Linked DNA regions of Caenorhabditis elegans. The protein of the gene in region 2 purifies or fractionates together with the protein of the main gene of each other region. This does not show direct contact. Each region holds a gene or a part of one and is shown on either strand. Other genes may lie near its edges.

Evidence for each region.
Region 1: the proteins of gba-3 (region 2) and Y106G6E.4 fractionate together in Caenorhabditis elegans (co-fractionation; one large-scale study listed by BioGRID). This does not show direct contact.
Region 3: the proteins of gba-3 (region 2) and rexd-1 fractionate together in Caenorhabditis elegans (co-fractionation; one large-scale study listed by BioGRID). This does not show direct contact.
Region 4: the proteins of gba-3 (region 2) and F59A6.12 fractionate together in Caenorhabditis elegans (co-fractionation; one large-scale study listed by BioGRID). This does not show direct contact.

What each region holds. Positions count from the first base shown.
Region 1 is NC_003279.8:10,221,134-10,224,668, forward strand, and holds Y106G6E.4 (putative 5-formyltetrahydrofolate cyclo-ligase), read right to left. Parts: upstream 1,646-3,535; coding exon 1,406-1,645; intron 1,086-1,405; coding exon 953-1,085; intron 905-952; coding exon 657-904; 3' UTR 509-656; downstream 1-508. Other genes in the region: ced-12 (Cell death abnormality protein 12), read right to left, coding at 1,840-1,981, 2,061-2,298, 2,350-2,576, 2,622-2,972, 3,019-3,535. UniProt on the Caenorhabditis elegans protein: Contributes to tetrahydrofolate metabolism. Helps regulate carbon flow through the folate-dependent one-carbon metabolic network that supplies carbon for the biosynthesis of purines, thymidine and amino acids.
Region 2 is NC_003282.8:17,471,679-17,479,343, reverse strand, and holds the start of gba-3 (Putative glucosylceramidase 3), read right to left. Parts: upstream 6,011-7,665; coding exon 5,947-6,010; exon of another isoform or gene 5,922-5,946; intron 5,102-5,921; exon of another isoform or gene 4,897-5,101; coding exon of another isoform or gene 4,726-4,896; intron 4,232-4,725; coding exon of another isoform or gene 4,010-4,231; exon of another isoform or gene 3,860-4,009; coding exon of another isoform or gene 3,668-3,859; intron 3,626-3,667; coding exon of another isoform or gene 3,506-3,625; exon of another isoform or gene 3,501-3,505; intron 2,841-3,500; exon of another isoform or gene 2,820-2,840; intron 2,737-2,819; exon of another isoform or gene 2,688-2,736; coding exon of another isoform or gene 2,633-2,687; intron 2,236-2,632; coding exon 2,026-2,235; intron 1,960-2,025; coding exon 1,676-1,959; intron 1,627-1,675; coding exon 1,460-1,626; intron 1,412-1,459; coding exon 1,036-1,411; intron 945-1,035; coding exon of another isoform or gene 697-944; intron 490-696; coding exon 242-489; intron 201-241; coding exon 1-200. Other genes in the region: grl-24 (Ground-like domain-containing protein), read left to right, coding at 3,506-3,625, 3,668-3,859; F11E6.9 (TransThyretin-Related family domain), read left to right, coding at 4,010-4,231, 4,726-4,896; epic-1 (Ascaris suum EPICuticlin protein related), read left to right, coding at 7,430-7,481. UniProt on the Caenorhabditis elegans protein: Glucosylceramidase that catalyzes the hydrolysis of glucosylceramides into free ceramides and glucose. C.elegans contain specific sphingoid bases, which are unique or different in structure compared to the sphingoid bases found in other animals.
Region 3 is NC_003281.10:1,832,526-1,837,540, reverse strand, and holds the start of rexd-1 (Minor tail protein), read right to left. Parts: upstream 3,029-5,015; 5' UTR 3,022-3,028; coding exon 2,935-3,021; intron 1,409-2,934; coding exon 1,335-1,408; intron 1,278-1,334; coding exon 1,175-1,277; intron 423-1,174; coding exon 281-422; intron 1-280. Other genes in the region: Y39A3CL.7 (uncharacterized protein), read right to left, coding at 3,644-3,707, 3,960-4,151.
Region 4 is NC_003280.10:5,011,007-5,014,012, reverse strand, and holds F59A6.12 (C6 domain-containing protein), read left to right. Parts: upstream 1-1,934; 5' UTR 1,935-1,956; coding exon 1,957-2,014; intron 2,015-2,063; coding exon 2,064-2,239; intron 2,240-2,281; coding exon 2,282-2,425; 3' UTR 2,426-2,490; downstream 2,491-3,006. Other genes in the region: F59A6.3 (Sushi domain-containing protein), read right to left, coding at 2,834-2,871, 2,922-3,006.

The DNA.
Region 1 (3,535 bases), on a different chromosome or scaffold from region 2:
AGGGAGAAAAAGCAAAGGTATGTTGATCATGATAACCTTTTTGAAATAATAATATTTGCAGTGCGGATCGGGAGACCAAAATTGACCTCGTGTTCAACAAGTTTGAGAGTGAACAATGATTACTATGTATTGACTTTAAATGAATATTTTTGTTCAGTTTCGTGTAGTTGCTCTTCATGTAAATTACAGGGCTTCTATCATATATCGATTTAACTACATCAGTCCTCATCTCGGTCTATCTGAACTGTGTGATATTAGTGAAACCATTGAATGTATCTAATTTTTGCTAATTAATGTCTTCAGGCCTTTGAATCCTTTCGTTTTGTGTGAGCAAGTTTTCAGATATATTTACAGGCTTTTGGGACAATGCTATGCAGTTCTATGGGGCATTTCAGAACATCTCCACAAGTTTTCGTGGTGGGACCTAAAATTGAAACACCTCGGAAGGCTAGAATGCTTCTAACTAATGACTGAATAATCTATGAAAAAATTATATATAACTGTAGTTCAAAAAAGTTTATTCAGTTAACAAATGCAAGAAATTGTATCACAAAACCATTTGAGGAATGTCTGAAAAATCACTTATAAATTGGCGAGAGAAATTTAAAAAAAAATCTCAATATCACAATCGGGAATATTATTTAGAGTGTGAAGCCTTAAATAGTATCAAAAATAATAGTTTCTCCTTCATAGATAACCTCATCAAGTTCAACATCAGTTTCAGAAATAGGAATTGTACCAATAATTTGCTCACGAAGAGCCAATCCTATCTTTTTTGGGGAGTTTTCTGGAAAATGTTTGTGATGAGTGGAGAAGAAGCGATCGTAATATCCTTTTCCATGACCACAACGAAGTCCATATGGTGAGAAGGCAACGCCGGGTGCAAGGATCAAATCCAGTGGTCCTGTAAGTACTTATAAATTGGAGTTATATTATTAAAAAGCAGTCACACCTGTTTCATGATAGCTTTGCCATTTCCATTTCGGTTCTGGCTGTCTGATTCCCCAAAGTGTTGAAGGAAGATTGTCAAAAGCAGTTTGATCCGGAACTCGAACCATATCCATTGCAGTTGAGCCCTTCGTGAACTGAAATTTTTACATTTGTGACTTCAATAAATTATACTTGCTGTACGTGCCTGTCTCCCTGGATTCATATATAATATCTGCCTAGGTACTAATTGCCTGCCTACTACAAACGATTACAGCCTTCATGTCTAGGGGCCTACTTTACGCCTACCTCGCAAGTGCCTTAGTTCTGCCTGGCTACGTGCCTGCCTGCCTTTATTCATAGCTCATATCTGCCTACTTCTTGTCGGCCTACCTGCTTTATTTCTGCCTGCCTATGTGCCTACCTACATGCCTACATCTTAACATCTATTGCGCATCTGTTTCAAAATAAATTTTACCTGTGGAATGAAAACTTCTTTTCCCATTTCCAACGCTTTTTGAATAATCGAATCAGTTTGTATTTCTCCCGATGTACTAACATAAACTGACAATCTCTTGCTCTCTTGAAACCATTTCGATTCAATTATTTTTTCAAAAACCGCCTCTGTTTGACGTTGAGTTTCTTCTTTCGAAATTTTTCCGAGCAATGTCTTCATAAACTGCCTGAGCTCTGATTTTACCTCTTTTATAGCACTCATCTGAAAATGTTGGTCAAAAATTTGTTTTCAAGAGATTCAGAAAACTGTTAGTGGCCTGTAGTTAATGGCTCGTTATTCAAATTAAGTTAAATACACAGTAATAGGCATAAATTACAAAATTTATTATGCACATGGAAATGTTTTGCCTTTCAATATGGTAAAATGCACGTAAGAATGATAAAGCTTGAATATGATTAAAACTTTGAAATAAAGCTTTTGATATCGTCAGGGATCGGTGGAATTTCTGGTTTCTCCTCGGGGTTCGTGAGTTTCACATTGAGAAGGCGAACTCGTAGCTCCATTTTCAGCATTCGTTCAACCATTGCATCGGTTTCACTGAAAATATTTCAATTGGTATTTTCGGGGCTTCCTATTCTTCAGGTTACTGTAACTACAGTAACCAATGTCTAGATACCTTTTAACTGCCTTGCTCCCAATCAATTCAGCAAGACCTTCAAGCCATATAACAGATTGAGTTTCATCGGATGTCAATGCCATTAAAACTTCGCCTTCTTTCATATCATTTGTTGTTTTTAATTGTACACGAATCCCTCTTAACATTTGTGTAGATGGAGAAGAAGTGAATCGAGATGAGCTTGCTTTTCTATCAATCTCATCATTATTTGTTACATCAGCAATATCTTTGATCCAAACTGAAAATAAATTAATTTATTATTTGAGAACTAATTCAATATTCCCCCAACCTTGCCGAATATCATCTCTCTGCACACCTTCCACATAGTTCTCACCATCACATCCAGTTATAGTGAGCATTTTCTCCGATGCATCGAGCTTCCAATGCCAGAAGGCGAGCTTTGCGAGGGATTTACTTTTCTGTGGTTTTCGAAAAACGGCGCCTAACTTCAAATAGTTTAGATGATTTATTCGAACCAATTCCTCCATTTTTGGCCGCAATTTCGATTTTAGTTGTCTGAAAATATGTATACGAATAAGTTATTGGAATTTTCAGACTTACATCACAGCTTCACTATGTAATTGAATATTTTCCTTTCCCAATTGTTCCTCTCTCCAAATTTCTTGCATTGCCCTATACGAAAAAGTCTCCAAATCCGCAGATAGTTCTTCTACATCTTGTATTTCCCGTCTTTTCAGCACATGCCGTAACTGTTCCAGTACAACACACGCAACTTTCTCCATTTCACCTCCTTTTGCCTGCATCTCACGCCATGTTCGATGGAAAAGGTGTACAATACATGCGAATACAGCTGGAAATGGAGTCTCCGTGGAAAAGAGAACTACAATCAAACGATCCAACTCATCACGACCAGGTATTACTCTGAACAATTCTGCGGCAATGTCACAGCACCTGAATTTAAAAAATCATCAGAACATCTTTACGTTTGCAAAAAAACCTCATCCACATTGGAATCAGTTGCCATTTTCCTCCTTCAATCCTCATTGTATTCTCCGAAATTAGCATTCTCAGATCTTGCGGACTTTTTTCTGCAAATTGAACCATCGAAATTGCAGCCAACCGTCCACATCGGTGTTCCCCAATTTGTGATTTCCACATTTCTCTGATCTCCTCGGAAACATCCTCACTGGATTCAATATCAAGAATTTTCTGAACTTCAGCATCAGTAGGAGGTGAAGTTTCATATGCACTAATCAGACTCCTTTGAACCTCAACAAGTTGTTCAATAGCATTCAGATTTCGAACACCACCACCACCACGTAGAAGAGAACTGTGTACAGCATTACGGAATGGAACGACTTCTAAAGATTTAATAAGTTCAAATCGTTTTTCATCATCAGGACATCTTCTTATCATTGAATTCATTAGTGAAAGTGCACAAAGAGCAATTCGTTCATCTGATTTTTCAACGTGTCGAATGAGAGTCTCTATTGGAACTTCTTCGAGAATCCAAT
Region 2 (7,665 bases):
GAATGGATCTTGGGGGCAAATTCAGCACAATAGAGAATCCTGTTGAACTGTCAACTATACGTGTCAATAATGAGTTGGACGCTTTTGATAAAATAACTGTAGCTCGTCTTCCACCTTCAATCACAACACTTGTAGCTGAGACAGCCAGGTTTCCCTCGATCTTTGTGAACACACGAGTAGATCCACGTGGAAGGAATTTACTAAAAAAAAGTATGTTTTCAGAATCATAAGGTTAATAAACCTAAAGTGGCCCAATGCATAGAACATTGGTTGTTTGTAAAACTCTTGAGCAGTTCGGTTGACAATGATTGGGGAATCTACAACATTGTAGGCCCAATTTGGCCCACCAGTTTCATCAAGGCAAAGATTCCAGTCAGTCCATCCCGTAACGTGATGATTAAGATCAGTGATGATATCATCTGCATAACTTTCTGCGCGGAACCAGTCTCCCATTATTGGACCATGATGTCCAAAGTAGCCAGCACATGCCTGAAACAAGCTGGCTGAAATATACTCTCCAGGATGTCTGAGTTTGAACTAAATATGCGCTGATAACAAGCAAAGCTAGGTGCTGATGAGTTTTACAAAAACCAAGGTTCAAGTGCAACGGGCATTTGGATTAGACACTTTTTGTATTAAGTTTGATTATAATAATTTGTAATCATCAAATCATGGCAGCATAACATCTTAACATACCTAAAATGTCCCATTGCATAGAACATTGGTTGTTTGTAGAACTCTTGCCCTGTACGATTTACAATAATTGGAGAATCAACAAAGTTATCAACCCAAGTCGGGCCGCCCATGTCGTCCAGACATAAGTTCCAATCGGTCCATCCAGTAAAGTGGTGGTTTAAGTCACTGATAATATCAGATGCATAATTTTCTGCCGTAAACCAGTCACCCATTAATGGGCCATGATGAATAGCGTAACCCGCGCATGCCTGCAGAAAACTTGAAAACTAAGAATGTACAGTCATTTTTTTTTGCATCAATACTTTCATGAATAACCATATTCATGGTATTCAATCTTACCTCGGTTCCAAAAATAAATTTGGTTGGATGATGCCTTTGAGTAATATCAAGAAGAACAGCAGGAGAATACAAGTTACCATACCAGTGAACTGCTACACCATCTGCATATTTGGTTGCTTCCGGGTCATTGAAAATAGTGTCAGCCCATCCAGGGAGTAATCCTCTTCCATCATCCAAAACCATAACTTTCAAAGTTTCCGTTAGTTTATTTTCTTTCAGTTTTGGGCCAAGATATTTTTTTAGAAAATCTCGCATCGTTTCTGCTGTATAATTCATAGTCTGCCATCTCCATGCCATGTCAGCTCCTGTTGATGGCTCATTTTGAATTGTTAGTCCCCAAAAGGTAATTGCATGAGATGAATAGGCTTCGAAAAATCTTTTAAAAATAATAATTCAGTGTTTTCGAATAAACACAAAAACTTACTTAAAAAAATAATCAGCGTACGCTTGATAAACACGCTTATCATTTCTCATAGCTCCTCCGCCCCTCATGCGTCCAGTAACTTTCATCCATCCAGGAGCTGACCATGGACTGGCAAATAATTGAATGTTTCCTTCAGTTTTTTCAATTGCTTTCTTGATAAATGGAATCTGAAAGTTTCAGTCTTTTTTTTGAAGTTTTGCCGTTTATTAAAATTACCTTTAGTTTTAAATCTTCATCAGGTAATGCAAAATGTTTTAATTCAAAATCATCATGAACGTCATCATAGCTATATTCATGAGTAGAAAAATCACAACTGGCTATTGGAACTCTTCCTATATTATATTCTAATCCATTTTTTCCAAAATATGAATCAACGATATAATTTTGAAGTGTCTCCGATAAGGAAACAAATTGATCGCCGGCAGAATCAGTAAATGCTCCTCCAAAACCAAAAATATTTTGAAATCTTTCACTGGCATCTATTGTAATTGTCACATTAACTATAAAACATTTAATAATTGGAGGATGATTTGCACCTCGGAAATGTGTTAGATAAGTATTCTTACCTGATTCATTTTTTCTCAATTTCTCTTTCATTTTCATACTCATGCGTTTCAATCTATCGCCGTCCAAACTTGATCTATAAACAATTGCCTTCCCTTCAGCTATCTCTCCTATTGGCTCAATTTCATCGCAAAACGTTGCGTTGCAAACACAAACAATGTTGAGAAACGCGCCGTCATAGGTTTTTGGGTTGCATTGAAAAGAAGCATGACCTAAAAGAATATTAATACTGAACGGTAAATCATTCTCACTTTATTCATTGTTTGGGAAACTCAAAACTACCTCCCCACACCTAAAACCGAATATCATTAAAAGACTTCTCAAAAATTTATCTATGATTTTTTGGAGCCATTAAAACCGAAAACTTATTATGAAGTCTCATTAGGGAATGCAATTTTTAGTCAGTGTGGGTTTTTTTTTAAATTTAATCCAAAGCAATTTAGCCTTAGAACGTTTTTTTTAAAGAATAGTCCAAGTGAAACCTGTTTTTAAATTTTTTTATGATCTAGTTTTTTTAATAAACTAGAGATTTTCTTTCATGAATTTCTCACATTTTTCATTCAAACAGAAAAAAAACGCTGATTGTAAATCAACCAAATATAAACATACCGATTTCAAACATAAAACTTAATAGGCACAAAATAACGACCTTCCATCTTGACATTATTGGAAACTACTGACGACTGCAGGGCTCGAATGAACAGTTGCTCTTTACTTCCCATGATTTATCTTATCAATTTCTTGGCCAAGATGACCATTGTGTAACTTTTCTTGTGTTTGGGGCAATGTTTAACATGTTATAGTAACAAAATTATAAACTTAGCTCTGATAGGAAACGGATTATATTAATAAATTATAACTGTAAAAGTGTATTTCACAATGTTCCTATGATTTATTAAACTTTTCATAAAAAATTTCAATTCCGATTATATTATACGGTTTTTTTTGTTTTTGCTCTGTTACATGGTTTTAACAACCTATTTCAAATTTTCCGAGACTGCAAAAATTTTAAATAAGAAGAAAAACTATCAATTTATAGTGAAAGTTTTAAGTTTCAACGATGTTTGTTAGTATTAAGTATCAAGGTTTATTGAAAAGTGTCTAAAAATCAAAAAAAAAGATGCTTCAACTGGAAAAAAATCAACTGGTAATTCATTTACTCATAGTCAGGAATTCAAACTTATTTCAGACATTCTTTGGTTGAATCATTTTTTTAAATCGATAGAATACTATTAAAGAATCGATGAATGTTTACAATTAACCCTTTATTTTTTAATAATAAACCAACAGTTTTTACAACTAATCGTATCAATTTGGACGTGACACACAAATGTTTTTTCATAAAATAACACTTGAAAAACACGTTTAGCTGAAAATAATACTTTCCCGTGAACTAATAAAAACAAAAATTGGTACTGCAACCAATTAAACTACCTATAAAAGTAAAAAGGTCTCCAGGAACAGAGGTCATTTAAAGTTAATATGTCTTCTTTATTATTATTGTTAGTACTTGTCATGTTTTTCACTCTGGCATCATGCCAAGATGATAATTTTGAAGGTGAACGTTGTAATGACGTTATTTTGTATGATATTATAAAAAAGGTGGGTTGAAACAGTTTTAAAATAATTATTCCGTATTCTTAGGCCTCCAAAAAGACTGACGATCCGGTAATAATACGAAGAACTTCAATGGACACAATGCAAAATGTGTTTCCTTTGGCAAGAAGTATGGGATGTATTTGTACCGATCGAAACTTCCAATTTCCTGATTTCACAAATCACAGATACTGTTCTGTTAGAGTTTCAAATTTCAGGTGTCATGCAATTGTCTTTTAGCTACTAAATTTACATTTAATCTTTGATTTTGATGTATTTTATCATTGTTTCCGTACATGTGATATCATTATGACCTACAAACCTATATATTTATTCGTTTCTGTTTCTCGTCATTCACACCAATTTTGACTTATACCACGCACCTTTAAGATGAAAATTTTGCGAATTTTTTCATTCATTTCTGTTTTTGTTATTATGGATTGTTGCAAATTCAACGCTCAAGTAAGATCGGAAACAGATAGGGATGTATGGGCCCAGTTCACCTGGTTCAACAAAACGGATTCCGAAATTTTTAAATTTTCGAAGTATGGGGAAACAAAGAATTTTACAATCACTGGAACTATATGCAACTTGTCTCCAACAATTTTAAAAGTAAGTTTAATGCCCGCTAGTGTATATGGGGTGGGCGGCAATTGCCGAATTATCAAGAAAAAATTATCAAATCCGCAAAAATTATCAAAAAAAAATTCAATTCTCCTTTATGAAAATTTTCGCGGGTTGGAAAATTATATATCTCTACGACAAAAACACTTACTACATATACTTCCTTTTACGTTCAATTTTCGTCATTTTTTTTTCTGTATTTTACAAATTTTTCTGTTTAGTTATTATACCACAGCAGTTGTTGTCTCATAGTCAGTTTTTTTTACACTTCAGTAACAAACAATATGCAAGAAAAAATAACACGTTACAGTGTTATTTAATTTAATTTATTTACGCTCGCGAGGAGACGTGGAAAAAGTTGAAGAAAAAAGAAAAATGTACACATATAATAGATCAATCATGAATTTTTGACTTGACGATTTTTTAGAACAGTTGCGTGAAATGTGAAATATGTTTTTATCATGCCAATTTTAACTTTTCAGTCGTGGGAACAGTTTCCTAAGAAAGGAGTAAATCCAGTTGGACAAACGTCGGCTCATCTGGAAGGGATGGGCGGCACAATATACTATAAAGTATTCCCGAAAGATGGACCAGCTGCTGTTAGATCCGAAGGAATGCTATGTTCCTGGGGTCAGTGCCGTCTTGGAAAATGATTTCAAGCATCAAGTTATCATATTCTTATTTTAAACCGTTCTTTATGATTCAAAAAGTATATAAATTGAACTTTAAATCGAATTACTATCTATCTTCTTTCCGTTCCGTCTTTTTTTTCCGCACAGTCTCTTCTTAATTGCTTTTCACGTTCAACATTGGGCGCCCCTCAAAAAAAAGTTTTGTGTAATAAATGATCTCGAAACTTCCAATATGTTTCCACATGACCCAAAAAGCGAAACCAATTGGTATTTTAATTGTCGGCAGAGTGGGTGATTGTGACAGTTATTTTTTAATGGCAGAAAAAAGAAAAAAAGTTGAAATGGAACTGGTTAGAAACCAAAAACAATCAACTCTTGGCTCTGCAGTATTTCAAAATAGAAAAAAAAAACAAAAATGAGTATTCATTAGCCGTAAAGCTGGGAAAGTTAAATTATATTGATTACTTCAATCAAAATGGCATCGGAAAAACGAAAATTCTCCCGAAACATATTGAAAAATCTGTAAAAAAATTTAAATGACCTTTCAAAATTTTAGGAAAACCTCAAATTTTGTTAACACTTCTGTGTCGCAGAGGTGGTGTGATATTTGATTTTTTTAATGGCATAAAACAGTGTAAAAAAACTTGAAAAATCTAATATTTTCAAATCCAAATAAACCTATACATATTTTTTTTTAAATATCGAAATTGATTCATCTGTCAAGTATCATAATTGAGCACACTATTCCAGGTTACCAATATGAGTTCACTCCACTGGTTTTGTCAAATTTTAAGCAAGAATCTATATATGGAAACGTCATCGTAGATATACTATTTGACTTTTTTTGTTGATGATTTAATCTTATCAATTATTGAGACTAACATATCTTCATATCGCTTCTTCCTTTTTAGAAAACAGTTCAGTTCGCCGATTTCTTTTGGTTTTCGATGGCCCGAAAATTTTAATCGGGAATAGATCAAAATTGACCTTGGAATCATAAACAGTTTAGGACATTGGCAAATGAAAATTGGATGGAAAACCACAAAAAAAAATCACTCAATGATCACAAACCTTTTTCTTCAGACCTCTCAAGTCCGAATACTATTTTACTGGAACGAACACTGAAGAAGGCCATCCATCTTCTTGAGATGAAAATGAAATTGAAAAAGAAGAACAAACAAGTGCAAAACTGTAAAAGATTGAAGTTAAGTAAATGAAATTTGAAGAAATAGAGATTGGTTCAGACTGAATTTGTTTCAAAATGTACTTTTTGATTTAAGATAAGAAGTTAAAAAAATTCTGATAAATTGATAAACAAAAAAACCAGATGCTGACTTAAGATTGAGTAGAGAGAAACGATGGAATTGTAAAATGGTTGATCATGGTACTGTGGTTTTATATTAGAAAAATGTGTAAGAATGAATTATTAATTGAAATTTTTTTTATTTGCATAACATAAACAAGTTTAAAAATCGTAAAAACAGTTTTAAACCTCTAATACAAAATTGTTGACAATTGTTATACTCTTTTCTTCTAGTCTGTGTTGTTGTGATATTATATGATGTTAAAATGAGAATCGCATGATGCTGATGATTTATAATTAGGAAAATGATTTCTTTATAACCAGTAAAGATAGTAACCATTATGAAGGCGGATTAATGTATGGTCTTTTCAATATAATCTTCTGCAGCTAAAATTTTTTGTGGCATTTGGCGTCAAAAAATATATTATCTTTAAAGGGAAATATCTACATTTGCATGTGCTTCACCGACAAGTAATTCAGAATATCTTCAAAACGAAAAAAAATATTTTTTACAAACATCAATACGATCTTTGAAAGTTTGAAAAGCCGATGAATTCTCACTCCTGTTTTTTCAAAAGAAACCAGATGTTACTTAGTCTTTGGTTTATATAGTTCTTCTCCATATAACTTATTTCACCTCAAAGGTAGTTGAAAGTTATAAGGTTTTGGGGTTATAGTGAGTTTCAAGTAGTTTTTGTCCTTGTTACCATGTTTCACAATTCCTTTGAACAGTTTCATAATAAATTTTAGCAGCTTTCAAACAGTTCCGGGTGCATCGTTTTTTTATCCGATCTACCTGATGTTTCGAAAAAACAAACGTAAACAGTCTTTCCTATGTCCACTACTGTTCCGTGTTTGCGTCTCATTATCTTTCTCGCTATTACGTCGCCTGACCTCTTCATCTCGACCTTTGAAACCGGTTGCGCAACGCCGTAAACTTTTTCTGTGATCGGTGGCAACCCCAAAAAGCGATTGAAAAAGTGAAGAATCGAGAAAGGAAGGAAAGACATGAAGAAAAGTTCTAGGAAACAGAAACCCCAACAAAAACGGGTGGGAGGGATCGGCCTCGACGAAATTGGCGATGACAACGACGGCACCATCCAACCGTTTATAAGGACGACGGGTCATGGTTGAATCGGCACAAACATAAATTCTTCTGCAAATTCATTTCTTCTTCTTTACAGTTTTCTTAGTCCTTGCATTTCTTCTCTTCGTTACAATCATATCAGAGCTTTATATTTTTAGGTAACCATGAGAATAATCATTGTTGCTGGTCTTATCGCCTTGGCTCTTGCCCATCCGAGTGAGTTTTCTTGAAACTATTTTAAACCGAAGATAGTAAACCGTTATTATTTGTTTAATACAAATTTTTCATCAAATAAAATTTATTCGTTTAATTACTCATTAACTCAAAACTAAAACTTTTTAGGCTTCTGACTGATTTTTATAATTAGAACGTAGAAGAACATTGAAACGTATATTACTAT
Region 3 (5,015 bases), on a different chromosome or scaffold from region 2:
CAAATGACCCCCAACATGCCCATATTCCGCGCAATTTGAAAATTTCGGGTCCCGCCACGCGGGTTACTGTAGCACCGATTTCAGCTGTGTCGGTGGGGCAAATTGCATGGAATATGGGCAATTGCATGGAATATGTCAGGGGTCATTTGAAAGCTGGAGACGTGGAGAATTCGAATTTTCGAGGTTTTTTGGGGGGAAATTGAATTTTCAGTGGGATTTTTTGAAAAATCCATGAATTTGAGCCATTTTTCGCGGCGGGTTTTCAGTGAAAAACCCGTACTAATTTCGAGTTGTGGCCAAATATCACACATCCAAAGAACTTCTCGATTTCTGGACATAATTCCAGGCAGTAGAAGCTGTGTTTCTCCGTCGAAAATTCGAGATTCATAGGCCGGGCGGATTCGTTTGTATTTTCTCACAATCTGCAAAAAAAATGGAATTTTAGGATGAAAATTGGGGATTTTTTCGAATTTTCTGCATGAAATTTGCAAAAATTTGCAGTTTTTTAACGGATTTTTGCATCAAAATTCGGAATTTCGTGGATTTTTTTTCAAATTTTCAGTGGAAAATGTAAAAATTATTCAGTGTCTAGTCATTTTTCGACGAAAAAGTGGAAAAATTTGGTAGTTTTTCAGGTTTTTCAATGAAAAATTTAATTTTTCACGAATTTTTAAAAGACTTTTTTCAAAATTTCAGTGAAAAAAGCGAATTTTTGAATATTATTTGGCGGAAAATTCAAAAAATTCAAATTTTTAAATATTTTTTGGCGGGAAATTCAAAAAATTCAAATTGTTAAATATTTTTTGGCGGGAAATTCAAAAAATTCAAAATTTTGAATATTTTTTGGCGGAAAATTCAAAAAATTCAAATTTTTAAATATTTTTTAGCGGAAAATTCAAATTTTTGAATATTTTTTTGGCGGGAAATTCAAAAAATTCAAAAAAAACTGTTTTTTTCTGATATTTTCACCGCAAAAACGGGATTTTCACTGAAAAATCCAGAATTTCATAGAAATTGATGAGTTTTAGTCATTTTTCTTAGATTTTTTCCAAAATTTCAGTGAAAAAATCGAAAAACTCGGTTTTTTTTTCGAATTTTCACCGCAAAAACGCGGGTTTTCACTCGTTTTTCTCCAAATTTTCACTGAAAAATCCAGAATTTCTTCCATTTTCACCTCAACAGACATTCCTTCATCATCAGTTGGTTCCCAGTCAATTGTTTGACCGAATACAAGAGTCTCGTCGATTTGCATTGATTTTTCGAGGCGCATATTTCCACTGAAAATGTCATTTTCCGCTTAATTATCGATTTTTTCCGGTTTTTTTTCCGATTACCTGTACACATTTGAGACTTGTTTCGTTTTTGTGCGTTGTGTAACCACTGGAATCATTTTAAACTGCTTTACGGTCTGAAAAGCGTGAAAATTTTCGTTTTTTTCGGGCCAGAATTAGGCCAGAAGCCTGAAAACTACTCATTTTTGTGCATTTTCACTGCGAAATTCGCATTCAGAGCACTTTTTTACTCCTATTTTGCACAGTTTCGCTCGATTTTAAGAAACTGTGTAATTTGTCGTGGGATCCTCGGTGTTTGCGTACTTTTGGGGCTACAGTAACCCGGAAAATTGAAATTTCGCGATAGAAAGCTGGGAAAACACGATTTAGGGGTAAAATTGGCTGGGGAATTCGAAAATCGAACTGAAAACCTTTTTTTTTTCAAAAATTGAAAATTTGTGCATATAATTTTACAAATTTTATAGAAAAACTCGAAAACTCGGAATTTTTACGATTTTTCACTGCTAAATTCGAATTCAGAGCACCAATTTACCCCTATTTTGCATATTTTCGCAAATTTTCAAAAAACTGTGCATTTTGTCGTGGGATGCTCGGTGTTTGCGTACTTTTGGCGCTACAGTACCCCGGGAAATCCAAATTTGAGCTAGAAGCCTAGGAAAACGCGAAAAATTCGAAAATCGTGAAATTTTGATGAAAAATCGTATTTTTTTCCAAAAATTTCCAAAATTCCAGTTAAAAACCTCGGAAAACAAAAGTTTTTCGGAAAAATTAGCTTGAAATCTCAAAAATTCGGTTTTGAGCCATTTTTCAGAGGATAATTCCCAAATTTTTACAATAATTTCGAAAAAAACAGTAAATTCCAGCAGTTTTAGGTTAAAACTTGCAAATTTTCGAAATTTTTTTTTAGATTTTACGACAATTTGCACAAAAATCGGAAATTTTCGGTTTAAAGGTCGGGAAATTGCGTAAAATATCTAAAAAATCGGGAAAATCGAAATTTCGAATTTCCCGGGGTACGGTAGCGCCAAAAGTACGCAAACATCGAGCATCCCACGACAAAATGCAGTTTTCCGAAATTTTGTGAAAATATGCAAAATGGGGGTAAATTGGTGCTCTGAATTCGAATTTAGCACTGAAAAATCGTAAAAATGTCTAGTTTTCGAGTTTTCCTGAAAAAAAATTATAAAATTATGCAAAATTTTCAATTTTCGAAAAAAAAAGTCGAGTTTTTACTGAAAATCTCAGGCCCAGAAGTACGCAAAAACCACCAAAACACTGGATTTCACGACAATTTGCACAAAAATCGGAAATTTTCGGTTTAAAGGTCGGAAAACCTCTGAAAAATCAGGAAAATGCTCAAAAAATTAAAAAAAAAAATCGATTTTTCACTCAAATTACAAATTTCGGGGGTACTGTAGCCCCAAAAGTACGCAAACACTACAAAAACACTAGATTTCACGACAATTTGCACAAAAATCGGCAATTTTCGGTTTACAGGCCGGAAAATTGCGCAAAACTCCTCAAAATGCTCCAATTTTTCAAAGAAATTCAAATTTTCACTCAAATTTCTTCGAATTTCGGGGGTACTGTAGCTCCAAAAGTACGCAAACACCGAAATTTTGCGAATTTTCTGGTTTTTTACCTCATAATTTTGATCAAAAACCAATGCCATTTGGTAAACCATTCCCTCGACGGGTTTACTGTTGGTGAGCACAATGCCACGTGGCATTGTACGGCTGAAAAAAAATTTCTTAAAAAAATTCTGAAAAAATCAATAATTTTGTAAAACAAAAAAAAATATTGCAAAGTCAGGGAGAATCAACAACAAAAAAAAACTGAAAAAATTGGAAAAATTCGGAGAAAAAAAAATTTAATTTTGAATTACAAAAAAAAGAAGCACAATTGAAACAAGTATTGATTGAAAACCACAGAAATTATCGATTTTTTCAGAAAAATATCGATTTTTAGAGAAAATTATCGATTTTTTCAGAAAAATTATCGATTTTTTCAGAAAATATCGATTTTTTTCAGAAAATTATCAATTTTTTTCAGAAAATTATCGATTTTTTCAGAAAAATATCGATTTTTTTGGAAAAATATCGATTTTTCAAAAAAAATATCGATTTTTTTTTTGGAAAATTATCGATTTTTTCAGAAAATTATCGATTTTTCAGAAAAATTTCGATTTTTTTTAGAAAATTATCGATTTTTCAGAAAAAATATCGATTTTTTTTTTCAGAAAATTATCGATTTTTCAGAAAAATATCGATTTTTTCAGAAAAAATATCGATTTTTCGAATAAAATAATAAATTAAATTTGAATAAAAATATAAAAATAAATAAAAATGCATTTATTTCCTGGATTTTTCGCGTTTTTCGCGTCGAATTGGAGAAGTTGAACCGGATGATGAAGAACTGAAAAAATATCGGTTTTTTTTTCGGCGGAAAATTTAAATTTTGGATATTTTTTGGCGGAAAATTCAAAAATTCAAATTTTTGATCATTTTTTGGCGGGAAATTCAAAAATTCAAATTTTTGATCATTTTTTGGCGGGAAATTCAAAAATTCAAATTTTTGATCATTTTTTGGCGGAAAATTCAAAAAATTCAAATTTTTGAATATTTTTTGGCGGTATATTCAAAAAATTCAAATTTTTCATCACCGAACCTTGATCTATCCCGTCTGTTGCTCTTTTTCGCCCGTTTCTTATCATATTTATCACTATTTGTTCGGGATTTTCGATCAATTGGTGAATATGTCAGACTTCTGGATCGTGATCTATCCCGCCGGCGTTCCGGGGACCGATGACGTGATGTTCGAGAGGAAAGTGATGGAGGAGATCGATTACGGTGATTAAATCTGAAAATTTCAACATTTTCAGCGTTTTTCTTGTGAAAAATCGAGTTTCTCGCCATTTTTTACATCGAAAACCTGTTTTTCAGAGCTTAGCCGCAAGAATTAAGAAAGTTGTGCATTTTGTCGTGAGGCCCTCGGTGTTTGCGTACTTTTGGGGCTACCGTACCCCAGAAAACAAAATTCGAGCTAGAAGCCTATTGAAGGATGTTCTAGGGTAGAAATCGATGGAGAATTCGAATTTTCTACTGAAAATTTGTGAAAATCCAAATTTTTGGCTTAAAAATGAAAATTTGGGCATAGCTTCCGCATCTCCGAGTGACAAATGTGCTCTATTGTCAAATTGTTGGCAGAAATACGGTATTTATTCACATTTTCAGCCTAATTTAAGACTGAAAATGTGAATAAATGCAGTTTTTATGCCAAAATCTGAGAAACGCACAAGTCACAGGGGAAATGCTCAGAGAGGGGATTTTCGGGAAATTTTTGGCATTTTTTTAGGAAAAAACGGTGTTGACTTCACAAAATTCACAAAATTTCTACAATTATTCCGAAAAAAAGTAAATTTCGGCCAGTTTTAGGCAATAACTTGCAAATTTTCGTAAAATCCCTAAAATTTTTCCAATTTTTTTGGGAAAAATTTAGCTGGCTGGGAATTCAAAAAGTTTGAAATTTTAGACATTAAATCTATTATTTTCTAAATTTTCCCCAAACTCAACGAAAATTTGAACAACCGGGGGTACTGTAGCCTCGAAAGTACGCAAACACCACCAAAACACTATATTTTACGATATTTTGCACAAAAATCGGAAATTTTAGGTTTAAAGTTCGGAAAATTGCGTAAAATCCCTTAAAATGCACCAATTTTTC
Region 4 (3,006 bases), on a different chromosome or scaffold from region 2:
GGAAAAAGGCGTGGGCATCAACATTTTTTACTGAAAAAAAGGAAATTGGTTAGCCAACTTAGCAGGTGGAAGATGTTGGGGAAATATATAAGACCCTGAAAATAAAATCACCTGAAATCTTCAAAAGTTAAATTGAATCAAAAATTGAGTTTTTATTTTTGGTTATTTTTTTGCTGAGAATTTCGTTGAATATCATGGTAAGGATTTGGATTTTGAAAATTCAAAATGTGTTATCAACCCAAAGATCAGTTCCTGAAAAAAGGAGATGTTTGAAAAACAAACGTTTACAAACAGGAAAAAGGTCATATTAATATCCGATTAAATTTTTGCCTTGAACTTTAAAACTACTTTGGAACTTATAACTAAACTTCCGTCAAATTGAAGATATGAAATGAGATGCTTTCTTGTCGGAATATTCAAAAAATTTGAAAAATATCTAGTGAAACATTTTTTAGAGATTTTTGATAGGGCCGAACAGAGTAAGATGGGTTTTTCATGTTTTTTCATGCATAGTTATGCTGAAGCCAAAGACCTGTGCGGCAATAGATTAAAAATATATTTTCAAAATCATTCCTAAAATTTAACTCTTTCACGGATTTTAAAAATCATTAAATTAATTTATTAACTTTCTGAACTTTATGTGACGTGGCTATTGTAAAGATCTGGGACAAAGATAAGAGAGAAATTTGCTATAAATTGAGCAGAGTTTACCATAATCTTCACTGTAAGTTTCCACACTCTACAAAGAAGTCGCCAGTGCCCAATCCGTCCCACCAGGAGATATCCAGACCCAGCCGGGTACGAAGATCGTCTTCAATGCACCATACGATGACAAGCACACCTACCACATCAAGGTGATCAACTCCTCGGCTCGCCGTATTGGATACGGTATCAAGACCACCAATATGAAGAGACTTGGAGTTGATCCACCATGTGGAGTTTTGGACCCAAAGGAAGCAGTCCTTCTTGCTGTTTCCTGTGATGCCTTCGCCTTTGGACAGTAGGACACTAACAACGACCGTATTACTGTTGAGTGGACCAACACCCCGGATGGAGCTGCAAAGCAATTCCGCCGTGAATGGTTCCAAGGAGACGGTATGGTTCGTCGCAAGAACCTTCCAATTGAGTACAACCCATAGAGCCCTCTTCGACCTTGCTCAATAAATGAATTTTGAAAGCTCGTTGTTTTTTCTCTTGTTAAAAATGTTTAGGTTTAAAAGTGCACCAAATTTGGTGGAGGTAGAGGTCCACTCCCAACCGAGTTCAACCCAAAGAAGGCTTGATAAGAAAACCCTCGAGTACAATCCATAGAGCCCTGCTTGATCTTATTTAATGAATGAATTTTGCAAGTTTCATTCTTTTGCTCTCTTCAAAATTTCAGCTTTTAAAACGTTTTCAAATGGTTTACATTTAACCCACAAGAGGCCGCTTGATATCTCTTCTCTGTTCATTGGCAAAGGCATAATACAATGACTTGAATCCTCTTTGTCTAAACTTGGTATATCCGATTGTGTGTTGGAAACGAGGTGTGGTCGGTTTGTTATGTATGACTTACGACCACTGGACGCAAAAGGTTTTATAATGCTCACCGATTTGCAGCAGCAGGTGCGGCGAGATTTCCTTCAAATTCATGATATGGAAAAATGCATTCCGATTAATTACTTGTATGATTTCGCAAAAAAATATGCTTACAGTAAAGAGCACTTGTATAAACAGAACTCCAATTTTGTTTTGAGGAAAGTTTGAATTTATGTATGTTTTAAAAATTTTCAGTATGGAAAGTTCAACTTTGTTTTTCCGTTGAATTTCTGTTCAATCTGTTCGTTTCAATAATTTTCATTTGAACACGATTAGTCATCGCTGTGCGTCAGCTTTTTTTGTTTCAAATTCCATAATAGAATGTGTTCAAATAGATGCTATAAAACCAAAATTTTGAAGAAAATTCACTGCAAAAACATGAATTATTTATTCGCTTTGGTTCTGTTACCACTTCCTGTTTCAATTTTGGGAAAAAGTAGGAAACATAAAAACATTTTTAATTTAACTATATCTATTAGTTCCAGAATGTTGCCAATTCCCGGCTTATTCATTTTCCGCTATGACAAATGTTACAAAAGAAGACTTTAAATGTTCTGAACCAGTTTCAGTGCTTTGTCAAATTGACACTAATGGGAGTGGATATGTTGCAGTTGGAATTTCTGGAAATTTAACGGAACAGGCAGATACAAAGCCTTTAGTCGTGAGAAAACTTTTTTGAATTTTAAAAATATACTTTTTCGAGATCAAAAAAGGTTCATCTTCAATCTCGGCGTCTCTTGTATGCGACACTTCTTCTCAAATGTGGAAAGTTGATAAGAAATCCGATAAATATGACAATATTGGTTGTATCATGAGATCTACTGGCGGAGTTTGGATTGTTTATTGAGTATTTGGAATAAAATATATTTTTCTTTCAAAAATAGGAAAATGAGTAATAAAATAAATACTAAACTTCACAGTACATTCATTTAAAAAAAAATATTTTTCCCAAGTTTTGACTGAAATTTATGAAGAAAAAACCATTAATTGGAACCGAAATGCATAATGATTGTGTCTGAATACCCTAAAAGATCACATTTAAACATTTTTCAGAATATTTTGAACAACAAAAGTGCACTACAAGTTACTTGCCTTTAAGTTGACCTACGCCTCTAAAATTAGGCGTTTCGGTGCCTAAGCTAAATAAATATTTTACCGATGTATTCAATATATTCACAAACTTTAATTGTCAAGTTTCTCAGAGTAACACAAATTAATTTATTTCCGGACATAGATTTAAAATTTTAACAAATCATTAAAGTCTTGTTGGCAATTTTAGTTCACTCTTTCCATCTGAAAAAGTCACACATTTGTTTTTAAACAATTTATACTTCAAAACTTACAAATACAATTCTCTGGTGATCCTGCCCATTTTCCTGTTTTCAAGCACTTATAGATCTTCACAGGTTGCAGTGCAATTTCAAAAAC